Rattus norvegicus: one gene and its partner. The protein of the gene in region 2 interacts with the protein of the main gene of each other region in a pairwise test. Links are inferred from orthologs where the notes say so. Each region holds a gene or a part of one and is shown on either strand. Other genes may lie near its edges. The genes, in order: Camk2d and Tnpo2.

What was found.
Region 1: the proteins of Tnpo2 (region 2) and Camk2d interact in binary tests that used the Homo sapiens proteins (3 or more experiments, as listed by UniProt). The two-hybrid records come from large-scale screens. The link is inferred for Rattus norvegicus from reciprocal best matches to the Homo sapiens genes TNPO2 and CAMK2D.

The regions. Positions count from the first base shown.
Region 1 is NC_086020.1:217,694,233-217,704,235, reverse strand, and holds the start of Camk2d (calcium/calmodulin-dependent protein kinase type II subunit delta), read right to left. Parts: upstream 5,686-10,003; 5' UTR 5,464-5,685; coding exon 5,399-5,463; intron 3,819-5,398; coding exon 3,724-3,818; intron 1-3,723. UniProt on the Homo sapiens protein: Calcium/calmodulin-dependent protein kinase involved in the regulation of Ca(2+) homeostatis and excitation-contraction coupling (ECC) in heart by targeting ion channels, transporters and accessory proteins involved in Ca(2+) influx into the myocyte, Ca(2+) release from the sarcoplasmic reticulum (SR), SR Ca(2+) uptake and Na(+) and K(+) channel transport.
Region 2 is NC_086037.1:40,003,625-40,013,045, forward strand, and holds the end of Tnpo2 (transportin-2), read right to left. Parts: intron 8,244-9,421; coding exon 8,018-8,243; intron 7,987-8,017; exon of another isoform or gene 7,917-7,986; intron 7,835-7,916; coding exon 7,663-7,834; intron 6,904-7,662; coding exon 6,817-6,903; intron 6,744-6,816; coding exon 6,636-6,743; intron 6,555-6,635; coding exon 6,396-6,554; intron 4,760-6,395; coding exon 4,672-4,759; intron 4,631-4,671; exon of another isoform or gene 4,556-4,630; intron 4,475-4,555; coding exon 4,376-4,474; intron 3,900-4,375; coding exon 3,804-3,899; intron 3,538-3,803; coding exon of another isoform or gene 3,508-3,537; coding exon 3,432-3,507; intron 3,238-3,431; coding exon 3,138-3,237; intron 3,061-3,137; coding exon 2,986-3,060; intron 2,900-2,985; coding exon 2,798-2,899; coding exon of another isoform or gene 2,792-2,797; exon of another isoform or gene 2,772-2,791; intron 2,695-2,771; coding exon 2,611-2,694; 3' UTR 651-2,610; downstream 1-650. UniProt on the Homo sapiens protein: Probably functions in nuclear protein import as nuclear transport receptor. Serves as receptor for nuclear localization signals (NLS) in cargo substrates.

The DNA of each region.
Region 1 (10,003 bases), on a different chromosome or scaffold from region 2:
CAAATCTTTGCAGGAATCCAGCCAAATGTTTGCCAGTTCCCATCCTGGCCCAGGGTTCGCTAACAAATGCACTTTATCTTTTTGTCTGTTACAACTAGAGAACATTAGCTGAGGGCAGATAAGACAGTGAAAGGGTAGTGTGTTTGAGGTAGTGTGTTTAGCATGTGTGAGGTCCCAGGTTAAATTCCCAGCACAAAGAGGATTTAAAAGAAAAAATTGAGCAGTAGAAATTTCCTTGTCTTTGAAATGCATAGCCTTAAGGATTGGATTTACAAAGGTGTGTCATGTCAAATAATATAGACAAAAGTTTGCACAAAAATTTTCCACTCTCCAAAAGTGTCGTCGGAGCTCCAAAAGATTACTGGGGGGGTGGGGGTGGGGGGGGGTTAAACATACTATATTGCATTGGACTCTATATTTATCTTTGAATGTTTCTCATTATAAAATGTTCCTATAGGAGAGCTATCTCAAAAGCTGTTGCCTGTACATGGGATATGTTCTTCTAGCTGGGCTGCCTTGTCTGAGCTCAGTAGGAAAGGAAGCGCCTATCTTCCCCAAGACTTCAAGTACCAGGGTTGGGGGATACCCAGAGGGGCTCCCATCTGATTAGAGGAGAAGGGGAGGGGAAATGGGGTAAGGATTGTGGGAGGGGTGACCAGGAGGGAGCCAGTGAGTGGGGTGTAAAAAATAAAATAAAATTTAAAAGAAATACAAAAATTAAAATGTTCCTGCAAAAAAAAAACTTCAGACTAGATTATTGTAAAAGAAATGTTATTACAAGCAAACTTAAATTATATATTTTTTAGTATTTACTCATTTTTATTTCATGTGTGTATATGATTTTCTTGCATGTAAGTTTTACCACATGCATGCGATACTCATCAAGGTCAGTAGAGGGCCTCAGATCTTCTGAAACTGGAGTTGTAGACAGTTCTTAGCCACGTGAGCGCTGGGAACCAAACCCTGGGTCTTCTGCAAGATCAGCAAGTGTTCTTAACTGCTATCCCATCTCTCCAGCTTCCAAAATTTATACTTTAAAATACAGTCTCTAAATATACTTCATAAATTTCAGCATGTGCTTGTTCTCAGCAAGAAACAAAGCACGTAACTACTTTACAGGTGACCACATTTTACCCAGGCGCTCTGTCTGGAAGCCCCTCAGTGTTCTCAGTGCTGTCTACCTGTGTTACATCAAAGCTGAAAGCACAGACTTTCCTTCAGATAATTTGTAATTCAATACGGGTACAACTGAAACAAATGTATACACTACAAAATAAAGCTATTCCACAATAACCATCTCTAACTGTGTGTTGATATAAACTAACGGTGCTGAGCATTTTGTAGGAAATACCATACTCTTTGCATATAGTTGTAGTAAGTACATTTTCAGTAAGTAAAACTGGCAAGACACCTCATGAGACTCATGGCATAAGTCTTACCATTTGATTGACGAAGAATCTGAGATCTTAGGAAAGTATAAAATTGGATCGATTTTATGCACCTAGGGTCTGAACCACTATTTGAATTGGGTCACATCGGAACTGTCACTAGTCTACAATTTGCACATGCTTTCATATTAAGTAAGACCTTTTACATCAAGTAATGTGCAATTTGATTATCACCACATTCCCATCATATAATATGGAAGCTGATATTCACTATGAATACACTCTGTAGTAGGCTCTTCTCTGCACTCTACATGAAGCCAAACAGATTCATCAAACCGACACAAGGAAGGATTCTACCTCAACCCATTTTACAGATGAAAAGATTGAGGTTCAGATTAAAATGAGTACACTGCTTAAGGTCACCTAGCTAGCAGGTACAGAAATCAGGACTAAAAGCCAAAGCTTATCACTCTAGGACAGAAATATTCTATATTAGTGGGGGGGTGGATATAGAACAGAGAAAGAAGCTGGAGCCATAGCTCAACAAATCAGGGATATCCTTGCTCTTGCAGGATAGAAGAGCTCAGTTCTCACTACCCACACCTGAGGGCTTACCACTATGGGGAAATCTCTGGTCTCCAAGAGCACCTGAACACACACACACACACACACACACACACACCTAAAAATAATAATAAATAAATAAATAACCGAAAATAGCAAAGGAAGACAACCAGAATGTCCCGTGAGACAGGACGTGACCTGTAGAGGCTTAGGGAGAAGAAAGTGCTGGAAGCCAATCAGGTCAGTGTGGTCATCTCTCATGGAGGAGAAGAGAAGGAGCAGAGACAGCTACGCCCCCAGTCTGATAAAAAGAGCATGAGACGAAATGGATACAAAGTGATGACTCTCATTAAGAAAGAGTGAAGTATCCAATTCATTTGCTCTGAGAAGAAACTTAAGCCATTAAAGGACCTGAAAGGCATGGTAATACCCCTGCCCTCTCCCCAAAAAACCTGCCAGCCCACCATTGCCAATCTATCACACTGGAAGAAATAACAATCACTGGGAAAAACCTGACTCGATGTTTTCAGTCTTTCCCTTAAACTGGCATTTATGCTTCTGCCTCCCCTTGCGATTCTTAAAAAAACCCAAAACCTTCCGATGGAGTGGAGGCTCGAAAGGCAGATGTAATTAGCATAACACGCTCCTCATTCGTTTTCATGCCACGACATCGTGGGGTTCCTGGTCAGTTTACATACATAGCTCTTTCTCAGAACAACAGCAAATCAGACGAAGAAAATGACAGTGGAACTCTATCCGACTGAAGAAATAAGCTGAAACCTAGAGTCCATCTTCAAAGTAGAGTTTGAAAATCCATTTACCGGAGCGAAGGGGATGGTGCCCCGGCATCCTTAGGTGGCATGTCTTAAAAGATACATTCGGTGAGGAAAAGTAAGTCTAATGGAATTTCCTCTCGTACTTAAAATAAACCAGGTCACTGAGATGGGTCTGCACTATGGTATTCTGTTTCTTTTGATTCCAGTTTAATTCCATCAAACCATAAATTCCCTCGGAAATGCCGTAGACACCTCAGTCAGTGCAATGCCAGAATCTCGGCATATGTTATTTTGTTTGATTCTAGACAAAATAATCATAATCGCAGTCATCATAATGTGGGCACATAATGTGGGCTCCGTGTTGTTGTTGTAACTTATGTCAACAGCCTTCAGGATGAAGTATCTGTGTGGCTGTAAGCTGAAGGTTTACAATAGAGTGCATGATCTGGTGGGAAGTTGAATTCAGGAGACCAAGAAAAGGCCTAGCGTACACATAGCAAAACCAAGGTAACTTCCTAGATTACAACAACCATCTCTCCCCACTTCCCAAGGCCACTGAAGTTAAATATACCTCGATGTATTACGTTCAGCTGTAACTACACCTGTGATATACATTCAACTGAACCATGACCCATTTTTTTTTTTTTGTCTCAAAAGTGAAAGGCAATTATGACAGTTAGGAGACTTGCCTTTTTTTTTTTCAACCTAAGATCCTTCTGAAAGGATCTCAGCAAGGCCCCTCATGACATTTATTTGCTTTGCAACACATTTATTATATTACTGCATTTCGATAACTCATTGATAACAATTATATCTTTCACTTAACTCACAAAGTAAACAGACCACGAGGCCTTTGGCAAAGATGAGCATGTAATATGATGCCTAAGTCTAAAATTCAATTATAATTCCATGCTATAGTTAAAGAAAGACACCAACGACTCACACAGCAAATACGAAATTAACATATATAAATAAGTGCGGTTTAAAATACCCACCCCTAGCAGAAAGCTTTTTGGTGTTGATAATTTTGGCAGCATACTCTTGTCCAGTAGGGATTTTCATGCATCTTCTCACCACTGAGAATGCCCCCCTGGAAAGCAGTAATTAGCAATCATCAGTATAATCAGATCCAGTATCCACTTGCAAACTCACAAATCTGAGCAGTTTGATGAGTCTTTAGCGATCTGTCAAGTATCAATATAATAAAAAAGCATCATCTAGGAAATGAACGAATCTTCCCTGCCGAACCAGATCCTTTCTAATGTTGTGGAATAAAAGTAATTTTTAATTGACTGGAAACAAACAGATTATTAATCAACAAAATAGAAGGACATGCCAATTATAACCACTCTTGTTTGCACATGAAATTTGAAAACAATTTATAATTCACACTCATAAAACACCAAATGCTCATGGCAAACCCTGCAAAAAGCAGAGACCGGGAACAGAAGAAAAAAAAAACTGCTGCATGTTTATTTCGGTAGAAAACACAATTAACGTGGTTCCAAGTGAAGTAAATATGGCGATTGTTTTCATTAAAACATAAATCTCGAGCTCACTGGTGTGCTTTAACAGGTCCTGGGCTAAGGTGATTTCTCTCTGCCTGGTTTGGGCTGGGGGAGGGGAGAGATTTGAATTAAGCTGCTCTCCCGACATGTCTGCATGTTTCAACAGCTGATCATCTATAAAGATATCATTTTCGTTTGATTTAAAAAATGCTCACACTTCCTTGTATGCAACTGTACTAAAAACCTACAACACACACACACACACACACACACACACACACACACACACACACACACAAATGCATCCTTTCCCTGATAGTGGAAATTAGCGATAGAAGGACTGGTTTGGGATTTGATGCTTGTTACCAACACTCCCGACTGGGTCTCTGGTTGTCCCTGTACGATCTTCAGTAGGTACCCAGTCCCTCTTTAACATCTCAAAGTACTTCTGGCACTTCGGTGGAGGAGGTCCTTTTTCAAAGGCTAGGCTACCCTGGGGAAGCGCTCTCTCGGGCTCCAGGGCTTTTCTCTCTGCCTAGATAAATAAATCCTCTCAGAACCGAGGTACACGTAAATCCTAGAATGATGGTGAGCGAGTCACCTTAGTGCAAAGAAGGATAGCGGATACAGGGCAGGGACGTGGGTTCTGTTGGGTGGCCTTTTCCTGGACGGAACAACTACTTTGGATGCCGAACCAGACTCTCCACCAAACCAAGTTGAACTTTCGGCATCGATAAACAAGGCACCATCTCTGAGAACTAATGCTCATTAGCTCATCCTAACCTGTATCAGACCGCAGATACACCGCGGGCTGAGCAAAAGACATCTACAGAAAAGGTGATAAATGTTGCATTTTACATGCAATCTCCTTTCCTCCCCGAACACACACACACATTCACACTCGCGTGCGCGCACACTTCTCAGGATGACAGCTACAACTGCAGAGATCGTAAATTCACTAAGTCTCCAGTGGAGAGGTGGAGGACCCGAGGAGATGAGCTGGGGATTCGGGGCACCCGCCACACTAGGGCAAAGGTTTCTCCCCACTGTGCCCCACCCGCACCAAGCCATGGTCCGTCACCCCGCCTCGGCCCGCGGGCTCCCTGTCCCCACGGGGGAGACGAGGGGTCGCGGGGAGGAGGTGCCAGGCAGGGACGCTTACTTTCCGAGCTCCTCGAAGAGCTGATACTCGTCGGTGAACCGGGTGCAGGTGGTGGTCGAAGCCATGGCGGGGTCTGGACAGTGCGACGGGCGACACGCGAACAGACGCGGCTTCCCGGGACTGGCACCGCCGCGCTGTCACCCGGGGCCGCCCTCACTTTCCTTGTCCGAAAGTAGCTCGCCGGCGAGGGAGTGCGCGCAGGGGCGGGGCGCGCGGGGCGAGGTGGCCAGACCAGCCCGAGCCGCGATCCTTCTTCCTCCTCCTCCCGCCGGGCGAGCGCTCCCGAAGGGGCGGGGGGGAGGTGTCAGGAGGGGCTGCCGCGGTCACCGAGGCCGCACGGAGAGCTCAACGTAGCGCCCGGGGTGGCGGGCGGCAGTGGCCAAGAGTGAACACCCAAGGGGTCGCTCCTGCGGGCGGAGGCGGCGCTGGTGGCCTGCGCTCTCTCCCCACGGGGCCGCAAGGCTGGGAACCTGCGGGCGACAGAGTGCGCTCACTCGGCTCAGGCGAATCTGGCAGCCGCGGCTCCTCCCCGGCGCCTCCTCCCGCCTCTCCCCGCCCAGCGAAGCCCCCTCCTCGCCAGCCCCACACCTCCCTCTAGCGACTCCAGCCGCGTCCCTCCGGGCTGCTCTCCCGCAGCCGTCTAAGGAGACCGGAGGGAGGAGATGTGCAGAGCCCCGGGGAGCGCGCTTAAGGGGACGGGACAGAGATGTCGCAGTGACCCACGAAGGGACGGAAAGATGAGGGACAACTCGCAGCTCCCACACCCGGGATGTCTCTACCCCGGCAGTGATGGCCGTGATGCCGGGGAAACCGAGAGCGGGATGCAACCCTTGCATCTGGGCGCGGTTCGTGTTTACTGCTCCCAGACCCCAGCCCTACGTCTCCCGGCTCACAGTGACTACCGGGGGCTGCCAGCCCTGGCCACCTCTGCTTCGCCTGGCCGTCCCTTAGCTAGGAGCAAGGATGGTCAGGGCACCACGTTTCGATTCAGTTTTTACTTTCACCTCTTCGCCCTCCTCTCCCGTTGTTTTCCCAACTAGGGCGATCCCCAAAAGCATTTGCTTGGCCATAAAGCCTAACATAATGAAAGCAAGAAGTGCACCACGCTGCCACACCTTCCTTCCTCTCCAGAGTAACTCCCCTGTAACCTCAGCAAGTTCTGATAGTAAGAAGGGCTCTCGCGAGATGTCCCACTGTTGGTGGCAAGGGGGTGGGGCGTTAGGAAGGTTGGCTGCGGGTCACGCGACCCAGAATGGGGCTGACGTCATTAGCGTCACGTGAGCGTGTCTAGCCTGTTTCTCTTTGCAGAGGGAGAAGGAAAGGGAGAGGGAGGTCACAAGTTCTTTGCTTGCAGTCTCAAAGAGCTGGTCAGGTAGGGGCACAGGAATGTACTCCCTCAAGGGCTATCTGAAAAACCATTTAAGAGTTCAAGAGCGTGGCCTACAATTAAACATATGTGACACAGTTGCTTAAAAGTGAGCATGGAGAAAAAAATTAGCATGTAAGGTAGGTAAGTTGTAACTGGCTGCTAAGATCACTTCGGGGCCTTCTTTCCAGTTCCCAGTCTTTAATAAACGAGGCAATTGCAGATTTAGAGGACTATGGAAAATAGAAACATCATGAAGTTTTTTTTTAATTTTTTTCTTCAGATTGTTGCTTTTTGTTCTATAGCAGGAAACCATAAAATCCTTCACTTCTATTGCTTATTTGCTCATCCTTAGAAGGATCACGTCATGGACTTAAAATTCCACAGCGGGAAGATGATAGATCACTTTCAGTTAGGGGAGCTCTTACAGGCTTTTGGTTGCTTTTCCTGGGCGGCTATTAATTCATTACCTTGCCCACTGTCAGGGCTGTTCCCGGTTTTGTTTTGTTTTTTTATTTCCAATTCTAAAGAGTGCTATGAGTGCCTTTGAACTGAAGTGCTCAAGATGGTCATAAAATTTTTAAATGCTTTTTTTGTTAGAGGTTTTGCAAATATTGCTCACAATTCTAATAGCCCTCTCCCACTCAACACCACAAGAAAATACTTCTTGTATTTAGTCATCATTCAATGTCTGCATTGTTTTTACCCTGGAAAATGTCATTTACTGGTCTGTTTGACTATAATTTTCCCTTCAATTTTACATACATCGTTTGACATTCTTCCCACGCATTAGATTCCTAGTGCGGATTTTTGATGTTACCCAGCACAGGGGATCTGCCTGCACAACTGGCTTGTTGTCATGTGGTTTCTACCTGGAGACCTCTGCTGTTCAATTGTCATTGTGGAAGACCCTTGGAACCTCCTGCAAATTCTCTGTGGTTTTTATGTAGCTTCAATTCATTTTTGTTTTTAAAGCAAATATTGTCTTTTATGTCGTTAAATTTGAACGTTTTTATTTGATTGGGACAGGGTCTCAGTCTGTATCCTTAAATGGTGTGGAACTCACTATGTAAACCGGGGTGGGCCTCGAACTCAGAGATCTACTGCTTCTGCCTCCCCAGCCTGTGACTAAGGGCATGCCTGACTAAATTTGAACAATTTTAATCACAAAATTGAAATGCATTCAGGTCTTAAATCCTGGCCATAAAAGGCAAAGGTTACCGGGTATAAATCTACTGACAAAGAAAAAAGGATGATACTAAAAAGTTAAAAGGAGAAAAAAAGTAGTGTTTAAGTATTAATAACCAAGCTAAAAGTTGAAAGGAATAATTTGGTCTTGACTAAACCTTTTTAATATATAGCTTAAATATATGGCTCTCTGTTATAGTGGAGTAATTTAATATTCTTTTTTAAGTCCAAAAGCAAAAACAAAAATAAAATTTTTAAAAATGAGCATAATAATCTTTTTACAACTAGGAAGAAAAGTGTTCTTTAAATACCAATGCAATACTACATAATTACAGTATTTACCTCAGGTGTTTAAAAATAACGGTAACTGTAAATGGTTAGAATAATTTTGAGTATAATAAAAAAGTAACTGCATTTGATGTATCATTATCAAGTTAGTATTTGTAGACAATAACCTCGTAAATTGTTATGCCTTTAAACAAATAGTTTTTAATATACACTGCTCTGTTGTTTGATCTGTATTGTATTCTCAATAAACTATTTCTTTTATTTAAAAATATTCAGTTATTTCTTGATTTAAGACCTCCTTCAGATAATAATCAGATTGATTACATTTTTTTAAATTCTATTTCATCAGTCTAGGAATAGCTATGAAATAGTCAAATTTTTAAAAGGCATACTTATAAACAGAATGGCTCGAATTTAGTGTTAAAGGTTTAACCTTTAATCAAGGGTCTTTACCTGACTATTCCAGTGAACCAAGAGGAATGGAAGAGTAATAAAGAAAGGAGGGGGGGTTCTTAAAAATTATTCATGAAACTTGTTTAAAATGGTAAGACGGATTTTATTCAAACCGGACTGTGGTGATGGGGACATTTGTAACCTAATCTTCTCAACTCCGACTCAAAAGAGGGCAAGCAAAGATTTACAGTCAAGGAGCGTAGGGGTGGCCAGTGGGTGTAAGCACTGAGCGCTTTCTTCCTCTTCTCTTATTTTGCTACTTGGAGTTAAAAGTTTCAAAACTTTAGTATTCTCACTCAGAATGGACAAGAATCTAACGTACGTGGTGGTCATCCACTGATTTTTCTTCAGACAAACCTTCCAGGAAACACAGCACTTACCTCAAAAGGGTACAAGAGTTTACTCTGGAGCCAAATATGAGTGATTGTTGCCTGGGAACACTGGTTATCCTAACTTCCAGGTTCCAATGTAGTTAACAGTTTAATGAGATTGTATCTTAACAGAACGAGGTAAATCAGGAATCAAGATCCTTTCCAAAAGCATTGGTGGAAACGTTAGACGGGAGGGTGACAGAAAAGCCAGGAACGCTCAGCTCCAGGCCTCAGATGCTATCTGATATCATTCTTGGCCTTTCGGTTGACAGAAACTAAGGGTCTGCCTGGACTTTCCCAAAGATTCATCTAATCCTCACAAAGATTTTAGGGCACATACAGAGGAAGGTGATAAACGGCTGTGGAGGGCAAAGATAGACCAAGATAATTTGTAATCAGGTCCTTGATCTACACCATTCCTGTGCCCCCCAATCCCTGAAGCTCCAATCAGATCCTTGCCAGGCAAGCAAGGGTGTGACAACAGGCTGGGCCTGTCTTTCTAAGCCTGGGTCACCTCAATACACTGTTAGAGTTCCTTCCATTGAGAGTTCCTTCCATTTTCCTGAGATTTTTCCTTTTTTTTTTCCTTCTTTTTAAATGTTTTTCTTCTTTAAGAATTTTCCACCCTGTATTTTGATCACATTTACAGTCACCTTTCCATCTCCTCCCAGATCCATCTCCCCACTCCGCACCCCATAACTGTGAGTCCTCGTTATTTTTTCTCTTACATATATACAGAATTTATTTTTTGATACAAATTTAAAGTTTTTTTAAATTTTTTATTAGATATATTTCTTACTTACTTACATTTCAAATGTTATTCCCCTTCCCGGTTTCCTGTCCATAAGCCCCCATCTCCTCCCATCCCCCTCCCCCATATGGGTATTCCCCCTATACACCCCCCTTACTGCCCCCCCATATTCCCCTGCCCTGGAGGTC
Region 2 (9,421 bases):
CTCACTCTGTAGGCCAGGGTGGTTTTTTAATTCAGAAATCCACCTACCTCTACCTCCTCACTTTAATCCCCACTGCTGGCACTAAAAACAATCACCATCATCACCACTCAGCCTGGCCTGTTGTTCTTTAAGATCTCAAAAAAACTTCAAGCTTGCCCAGTGACCTAAAACTGTGTTATGTCTGCAGCAAGGCTTTGTAAATGAGTTTACTGTACAGTAGCCCTTTCCTGGGTTGTTAACTGTCAAGGAGGACACCTACCATTTCTAATCACTTTCACATTCACCTTCCCACCTTACTAGGATGGAAACAGAAACAGAGGAAGCTTCCTTGGTCACTTGATTTACTTTTTCAAGTTCTGGGAATAAAAGTGAGACCTATATATCTAGCTAAACTAGCTACCACTAGCCTCAATTTAACTTCATAAATCATCTACACTTTTTGAGACATAGCAACCAGCCCAGGTGGATTTCAAACTTGACATCCTCCTGCCTCAGTCAGGCAGACCACCAGGAGCAGCTGTGCATCTCCACTTGCGTGTGCTCACCCTCAGAAGCCAAGAGAAAGCAGGTGCTCTGAGGTATTCTCTACCTTCCACCTCCACACCACTCTACCAAAGCCAAGGACTAGGAAATGAGACAACAAGGGTTTCACAAGAAACTGACCTTTACTCAACAAAGTTCTACACGAGTGGAATCTCACGCCACCTAGGCGCTAGTCCCCAGCACAGCACAGTAACAGATGGATAGACCTGGGAGCCCATGGGGTAATGGTAATAAAAGACTCGGGGTAATGGCAGCAGGGAGGGCTACAGATCAAGGTCAGTCCATGTCGCAGCCCTGGACAAGGAAGGTGAAGAAACTGAAACTTCATTGTGCAAAAACCAACTAAAAAATAAATTAAAAAATTAAATAATTTCTTTAAAAAATAATAAAATAAAATAAAATAAAAAAAGGGAAATACAAGAATCGGGCTCCCTTTTCCTGAAGGTAGCTGGAACAACCCCCTTGGACAAAGAGGGGTCACAACTACATCAGACAGTCAATCCATCAATACACCCCAAGACCCAGCAGAGGATGCTCCTAAGAAGTGGAATTACCAGAAAGCTAATGGTATTTTTCTTTAAAAAATTTTTTTCCTACAAATGACTTCCAGAGACCTGCTCAAGTTTCAGGCTGGAGGGAATGGGGACCACTAGCTGAGTTATGGAATGTGCACTAAGTGTCCCTGGGAATAGAGGCAGGGCCTGACCCTACTTGAGAAAAGATACAAGGCCTGGATGGAATACGGTCCAGGTCCTTAGAGGGATGATGGAGCAGGCAGGCCCTAATATGCAGAACTCCAGTCAAAGCCCAAAATATAATGGGCTCCCAAAAACGTAGGAAGCAAAGAAGGGGACGGAGGAAAATTTTCAGGGATCTTACAAGACTGATTTCCATAGCTAATTTGGAAATAATCATGCCCCTCTTCTCTCGGGAAGCCCCTCCCACCTAGATGGCATCCCCAACCAATTTCTTCAAAGAGTTTTAGAGTCAGTATACCAATTTGGTGTGGTCTGAGTCCAGTGACAGTGACACTGTGATAATCCTAAGTCCCAAAAGGGACAAAGTTTGAGGCCCTGGGTACACCCTGCTCCTCCTCCAAGCCTTCAAATCTTGCTAGACCCAGTAAACTTCTGTCCTTTGTTCTCACCAAGCACATTCTGTTGCCCCAGCTCTGGAGAATGGGGTTCTCAGGAGCAGAGAACTGGACTATCCTTAAAGCTGTTTCAAGAGATCCAGGAAAGCAGCCCTGGCAGCCAACAGCCCTTAGCTTTCGCAAGGAAAACTAGTCCCAGGACTATGACTTTAAATACCCTTGGAGCACAGGAAAAGGGTACAGGGTAGCCTCAAGCCAGTCTCAGCTGCTCCGACGGTCCCCACTCTGCTGCTGGCTAGGATGTGACAACGATGGGGACACACTACATGAGGCTGCCATGAAGCTGGCAGGAAGTGTATGGAGCAGGTCCAAAGTGAGCCAGTGCTGAGAAGGCAGCCCCCAGATGACCACCCTCCTCCCTTGGCCCTGGGAGCCCAGCTGAGGTCCCCCAAACCCCCCAGCCCTCCCCATTACCACCAATTCTGGCAAAACAGCAGAAGCTTCTTATACTCTAGATGCAAGGTACACAGAAGGCCATAGGCATAATTTGGGGGTTCACTAATTCTACTGTCTCCATGCAGTCGAGGAAATGGTGGGGCGGTTGGCCCAGCCTAGCTGGCTATGGAGCCCGCACATGCGTGTGTCCACATGTGTACATGTGAGTGTATGCTTCTCTACAAGGAACCCCCCTCCCCACCTGTAATTCCCTTGCCTTATCTGACACCGGATTCGGTAGGCCTTATGGATTCCTCCCTCCCACATGGCTGGCCCAAGTGAGCTGCCCGAGATGACCCAGATTAGAGCCCAGAGAACTCTTGCCCACCAAGAAGTCCCACCCCCCTCCCTATTTGTAGGATGAGAATGGAGTCCCCACCCACCTGCCCACTCATCAGGCCCGGTGGGGCAAGTGGACCGACAGATGGACAGGTGCACAGACTGGGTTGCACCTGGATTTAGGTCCCACTCACTCCTCCCTAACCCCCCTCGACCAGGGCACAGTGACTTCTGGAAGCAGCACATTCCCCAGCACACCCTCCGACGATGACGCAGACAAAAACCTGTAGGGGAAAGGGAGGGTTCAGGGTCTCGTTCTTTTCACTCTCCGATAGGCCCAAGGGCTGAAAGACCTGCTCACCTGGTGGTCTCCACGTTCACCTAGACCCCATAGAAGGCTGCCAGCCTCTCCTTGAGCAGAGGTGGGAACTGCTCTGAGAACTGTTGCCAGTTCTCCTCCCCAACTTGGTCTTTGAAGCCATGGAGGATCTGCAGTGAGGCAGGGTTACAGTGGGCTGGGGCAAGCCTGTGGTGCCCATTACCCAGGACTCCCATGAGACCACCAGGAGCCTCACCTTATAAAACATGTCCCGAAGGTCATCCTTCGGGCTCACCCAGGAGGCTACAGCATCGCAGAAGAAAATAAAGTCCTGAAACATGATGGATCCCATGTGAGGGGCCGCCCAAGCCAGCCCCCTCCCTGCCCTCTGAGCCCCACTGCCCGGACCTGCACAACACCCCCAGGATTGACACCAATCATCATGCAGATGCCTCGGAAGGCAGAATCCTTCTCCTCGTTGTCCCGGATGTTCCTAAGGGACGTGCACCTGGCCATGGAGGAGGGCAGCAGGTCAGTGGATGGACTTGGGGCTGGACAAGCACAGATGAAGGATGAATGGAGGGTATAGGACGGGGTGGGTGTCAGTGGGTAGAGGTCTCCCACATGCATCCATGGGGGTGGCGCTGGGGGATACAGCTGTCCTGCCCACCCCCAACAGGTCCCACCCAGGCAGGCACACACCAAGGCCGGATGAACTGCTGCAGCATGGGTGCCACCTCCTGTGGGCACACGTAGCCCAGGCGGCCGATGGTGATGGCTGGAATGGCAGAGGGACTCGTCAGGCGACCTGCAACCCCGAGTGGCCCCGGGACGGTACGTGGCGGGGCCTCTGACAGGAGGCACCGAGCCCCGCCCCACAGGCCCCAACTGAACGATCCTGTGGCTATCCTGGGCCCTTGAGTTTGGCCCATAGGTGTCCTCCCCACCCAGCCTGGATCTCTTCCCATCCATATATTCTAAAGCCAGTGTTGTTCCTTGGGTTCCTCCTGAGTCCTATTCAGGTGTTAGCACCCTTCCTGGAACTATGCCCTCTCAGCCCTGCCTGGTACTCACCTGTGTTTTCCAGCAGTGTCTTGGGCGTGTTGGGCCTGTTAATGATCTCCACCAGATTGCTGAGGACCATCTGCACATAGGGCTGCATCTCTGCCCCTAGAGACCAGCCATTCAGAGCCCTGCATTGCCCACTCCACCCACAGAGCACCCGCCAGCTGGGTATGGCTGACTTCACTCCAAGAGCCCAGTTACATTCAGACTGGCCGGTGCACCACAAAGCCTGAGAGAGCAAAGGCCCCCCCTCGGGATACTCCCCACCAAGTCCACAGCCAGCACAGAATAACCACCCAATGAGTCTCTGAGGCCACTACCCAAAAGGTGACAAGATCACTCTACCCAATCTTCCCTAAGGACAGGAGGCCAAAGTCACTAATCCCAGTGGACCTTTCAGAAAAACAATTACAGGAGATGGTCCAATAGGAACAAACTGTCTACCCCTCCTCATACATGGCCCTTGAGTGATTTGACTTCACCTGTGAGGGAAATCAGAGCATGTTCGTCCCCAGCCAACAAAGCAAAGTTCTGGCTGCAGAGAAGCAGATCACTGCAGAGGCCACTTTCAGGGCACTCACCCATTTGCATGCAGATCTCCCCAATGGCCCAGGTGGCATTGTTGCAGACAGAGATGAACTCAGGATTCAGGTTGGTGCCCAGAATAGGCATGAACTCAGCTAATAATGCAAAGAAAAGAGCAGGGAGAAAAATTGAGCAGAAAGGCCAATGAGGCCACACTCCCAGAACTGGACTGGGCAGACCCCATCAGACAGTACGAATACAGACAGTTCGGTCATGGGCCTCCCAGGGTCATGTCTCCATCACTTGAGGCCAACGTTGGGGTTATGGGATAGGGGCAAAGGAAGTAGCCTACCGATACAGGGCTTGACATGGATGAAGCAGGCTTTGGTAAGGTCTCCCAGAAGGGCAAAGGAACTCTGCCGGACCTCAGGCATGGAATCCTGGAGGTGGGAAAGGTTGCACAAATGACAGACTCCTTGACTCCTTCCATCTAAGCCATCTGAGGTGGCTTAGACCCTAGAGCACATCCTGACCACAAACACAGTCCCTTACTCCATTGGCCTTCTACTACACTACAGCCTGTTTTCCAGGACCTGGGAGTGAAGTTCACTAGTAAGCATTTACTTTTAAATTTCTCCCTAACCCTGTTTTATCCTCACCCCATTCCCCCTCCCCAAACCACAAAATAACAGTTATATTAAATATACTCTTAATTTCTCTGAGACAGGGTCTTGCTTCACAGACCTGGCCAACCTAGGCACTACCATGTTCTGACTTAAGCCTCTATCAAAGTCATCATCAGGCCTAACTGTGGCACTCGTGTGCATCCTCAGTCACCCTATCTTAGTTTTGAGGAATAGTTTCTTTCTGAACCTGAGCTCACTAAAACTCAGCTGGACAAGCTGGCCAGAGAGCCCTGGGATCCTCCCTGCCTCTACCTCCCCAGTACTTTGAATCAAAGACTCCTCTGTGAAGCTGTACCCACTTATTTTCATCTTTAAATGCGTGTGCACACTGGGTGAGACAGTTGTACATGTTCATAGGTATCCTTGGAGTCTAGGAGAGGGAGTCAGGTCCCCTAGGAAGCTAAAGCAGGCAGTGGTCAGAACCAAACGGGTTCTCTGGAAGAACAGCAAATGCCCTTAACCTAAGTCACCTCTTCAGTACCTACCCCAAATTTTTACATGGGTGGTGGAGATCAAGTTCAGGTCCTGTTGTCTGGCAGGTACTACTTTACTGACTGGACCATCTCCCTACATCTTCCCATTACCTGTATTTTGTTTTGTTGTTTTTTGAGACAGGGTCTCACAACAGAGCCTGGTTGAGCCTGGAACTCAGAAATCTGCCTGCCTCTGCCTCTGCCTCTAGATCTAAAGTGCTGGGATTAGGGGTTGGGGATTTAGCTCAGTGGTAGAGCACTTGCCTAGCAAGCGCAAGGCCCTGGGTTCCGTCCCCAGCTCGGGGGGGGGGGGGGGGGGGGGAAGTGCTGGGATTAAGACCACAGATACAAAAAAAAACAAAAAAAAAAAACAAACAAACAAACAAAAAACCCCACAGATGCCTGTACTTTATTTTGCAGACCAATTTGCATTATAGTGTCTGACAAATTTTTTTTTACTGTTCTACCCATGTGTGGGTAGAGTATGAGTGCACACCTGTGTGGGGAAGAGCAGGCAAAAATCCAGGTTTTATTCCTTAGGAACCAGCCAACATACATTTATTCATTTGTTTATAAAACTAGATGTTAGTTGGGCAGTGGTAACTCATGCCTTTAATCCCAGCATATTGGAGAGAGACAGGCAGATCTCTGCTGAGGCCAGTCTGGTCTACATTACATAGCAAGGTCCAGGACAGCCAGAAAATACAGAGAAATCCTGTCTTTAAAAAAAGAAAAAGGGGGGTTGGGGATTTAGCTCAGTGGTAGAGCGCTTACCTAGCAAGCGCAAGGCCCTGGGTTCGGTCCCCAGCTCCGGAAAAAAAGAAAAAAGAAGGAAAAAAAAAAAGAAAAAAAGAAAAAAGTTGGCTTGTTTAGGTATGGCCTGACTTGGGAGTGGCTTATGTTGGGTACCCACTCACCTGCATACACTGGAAGAGCAATGTCATGATGTTACTTCTCGCTACCAGCTGTTCCACATGGCCACCCAGACCCTCAGCCAAGCCACTAAGCAGGTCCAGTGCAACAATCATGAAGTCCTTGTCTGGGGCCTCATACTGTTCCGGGTGCTGTGTGTACATCTAGATGCAAATGAGGCAGGTGAGGAAGCAGTCTAGGGCCTGGGCAGTAGAACAAGTGGTCAGGAGATCCAGGGTGCTCACCATGGCCTGGGCCAGTGTCTTCTGCACCAGGGTAACACAGCGCTGGTAGACAGGCTCACAGTAGGGCAGGAAGCCACTCTGCAGGGCAGTGGCCACAGATGATAGGCACTAGCAGGGAAAAGGGAAAAGGTAAGCCCAGGCCAGGAGGGAGGGCTCCGAGGAAGGACCTGAGCCCACTCACCTCCAGCAGGGGGAAGAGGTCCTTGTCTTCGTCCTTGAGTTCATTCCACTTCTGGATCAGTGGGGGCATCAGCTTCTGAATGTATTCCTGGAGAGAGGTAGGGGCAGCCTACTCAGTCAGTGCTATTTATCCCTTAGGGAAGATCCGTGCTCCTGATCCTTCTCATCTGCGTGTCCCTTCCGCTCACTCCCAGGAACCTGGGTAGGGCCTCCTGGGACCCAAAGACCCTTGAGCTCTCCCAGCACAGCCCTGGCCTCTCATAACTGTCCACCTCCCACTGTAAAGAGCTTTTGGTGCCGACTCTAGAAACTTGGCTGGAATTTGACCTTGGGCCAGGACAGGAAAGTAAGTGCAGACAGGAATCTGACTTTGGGCTAGGACAAAGAAGTGGGCTTCAGGCAAGAATATGACTTTGGGCTAGCACCGGGAAGGAGGCTCAGATATCTTGGCCATCCTGATGAGCCTCTAGAAGCAGCGATCACAGGACTTTGTTTATTGCCTTGCTCCTTCCTTAACCTAGAACTGACCTTATTACTTGCATGTACTTAAAATGGTGTAAAAGCAGACTGGGAAAAATAAACCCGCCTCAACCTCAGAACTGGCTGGGGTCGTGCGACGGTGTCGTCTAATTGTCTTTTTTCTTTTTGGTCCTGGCTCCCTCCCTGGAGGACCTGGTGACTGACCCAGCTGGCTTGATCATCCCACTAGTCTGGAAGCAGAGTAAGAACAGGGCTAAGTGCTTCAGCCTGCCTGTCATGGCCCTGTCCTCAGCATGTAACAAGGTCAATACCAAGACACCAGATGTTAAGGGACACAGGACAGGACAGAGTGTGTCCAGGTTCTCACTGGCTGATTGAGGTGGTGGCCCACAGAGTCAGCCAGGGTGCCGATGGCATCGTAGAGGATGAGCAGGTTCTTATGCTGGTATTTGCCAAAGGCAAAAACGAGAGTGTCAAGGATGTAGCTGAGGTAGGGCACCAGCTCCGTGCACGCCTCCTCCTCCAGGGTAGCAAACGCACTGGCAGGGAGAAGACAGGAAGGGGAGTTTAATGGAGCCTAGCAGATGGAGCAGCTAACACGGGCAGCTAGGGAGGTATATCCAGGATCAGCCAGTACGAATACGACAGTGATCAGAGTCTTGTCAGCAGTCATAGGCATCATCATTTCCCAGGGTGAGGACGGAGGTCAGGAGTGGGCTCACCTGCAGGCTGCCTCCTGCACCCTCTTATTGCCATCCAGGATACGTTTGAGCAGCTCCGTCATCAGAGGCTTGAGGTGCATGTCAGGTGGCTGGCTGACTACCCAGTGGGCATAGCGGCTCAGCGTCCAGCAGGCAATGGAGCGAACTAGGGCCTTCTTGTCTGACAGGCACTGGATGAGGTGTGGGATCAGCTCAGGTAGATAGGGCACCATTCCCTGCATGCAGCCTGTAGTTACCAGGAGACAGGAGGGTTTTTAAGAAGGCTGGGGCATATCCAACTCAACATGATAGGTGGAAAAACTGAGGCTCTTCAAAGAGCCCATAAAAGGCAGGAGCAAATGGGGACATGGCAGATACATTGCAGCTGAAGGTGGTCCAAATTCTGGCTGGGCACAAGCCCAAACCTATAATACTAGCACTCAAGGCAGGAGGCCAGCATAATCAAGGAGGGAAACACCCCTACCTCTCCACCTCCCACTTCAATAATCAAAATCGCAGGACTACTTAGAGAAGTAGGTGTCATGAGACTCAAACAGGAAGTGATTCTCAACTTGAAACCTTCTACACTTGTACTTTTATCTCGTGCCCCCTCCCTCCCCATCTCTGTCTCTTTCTTCACTCCACCCCCTCGCTTGATTTATTTTACTTTAGTGTACGAGGGGTGTTGTTGAGTGGGCAAGGTATGTGCAAGTGCCCACAGAGGGCAGAAGAGGACTCAACTACCCAGGAGCTGAAGTTAGAGGAAATCATAAAGGGCTACACGGGTGCCAGGAATGAAACTTGTTCTCTGAAAGAGCGTCAGATGCTCTTCACCACTGAGCCATCTCTCCAGCCCTTATTTTCTAACTTTATAATTGCTTAATTTTTGTTTGGTGGAGGTTTTTTGTTTCATTTTCTCAGTACTGGGAATAAAACCTTAGGCCTTGGGCATCCCCCCACCCACCTGTTTCACCCTGACTTTTGAGAATTTAATGTGCAGACCAGGCTGGCCTTGAACTCAAGAGATCTGCCTGCCTCCGCCTCTGCGTGCTGGGATTAAGAGTATGCCCAACTATGAATGCAACTTCACTATTGGGATCAACTTCTGTAGATCTCTCTCACTGGTCTATAGAACAGAGTACACCTAACTTGGGTGCTTCCACATAGTCACAGGTGAGCGATACTACTCTGAAGCAGAGGCAGGAGGATTGCCACAAGTTCAAGACTTGCTTAAAGTATACAAGAGACCCTGCTTTTAGCCAGGTGTGGTGATACACACCTGTCATCCCAACACTAGGGAGTCTAGGTCAGGAGAAATCACAGCATAGCAAGACTATGTCATAAAATAAAAAATTACCACGTACAATTATTGCATGATATCTGAGATAGCATTATCACCAAGAAAGTAGTCATCATGAAACCATT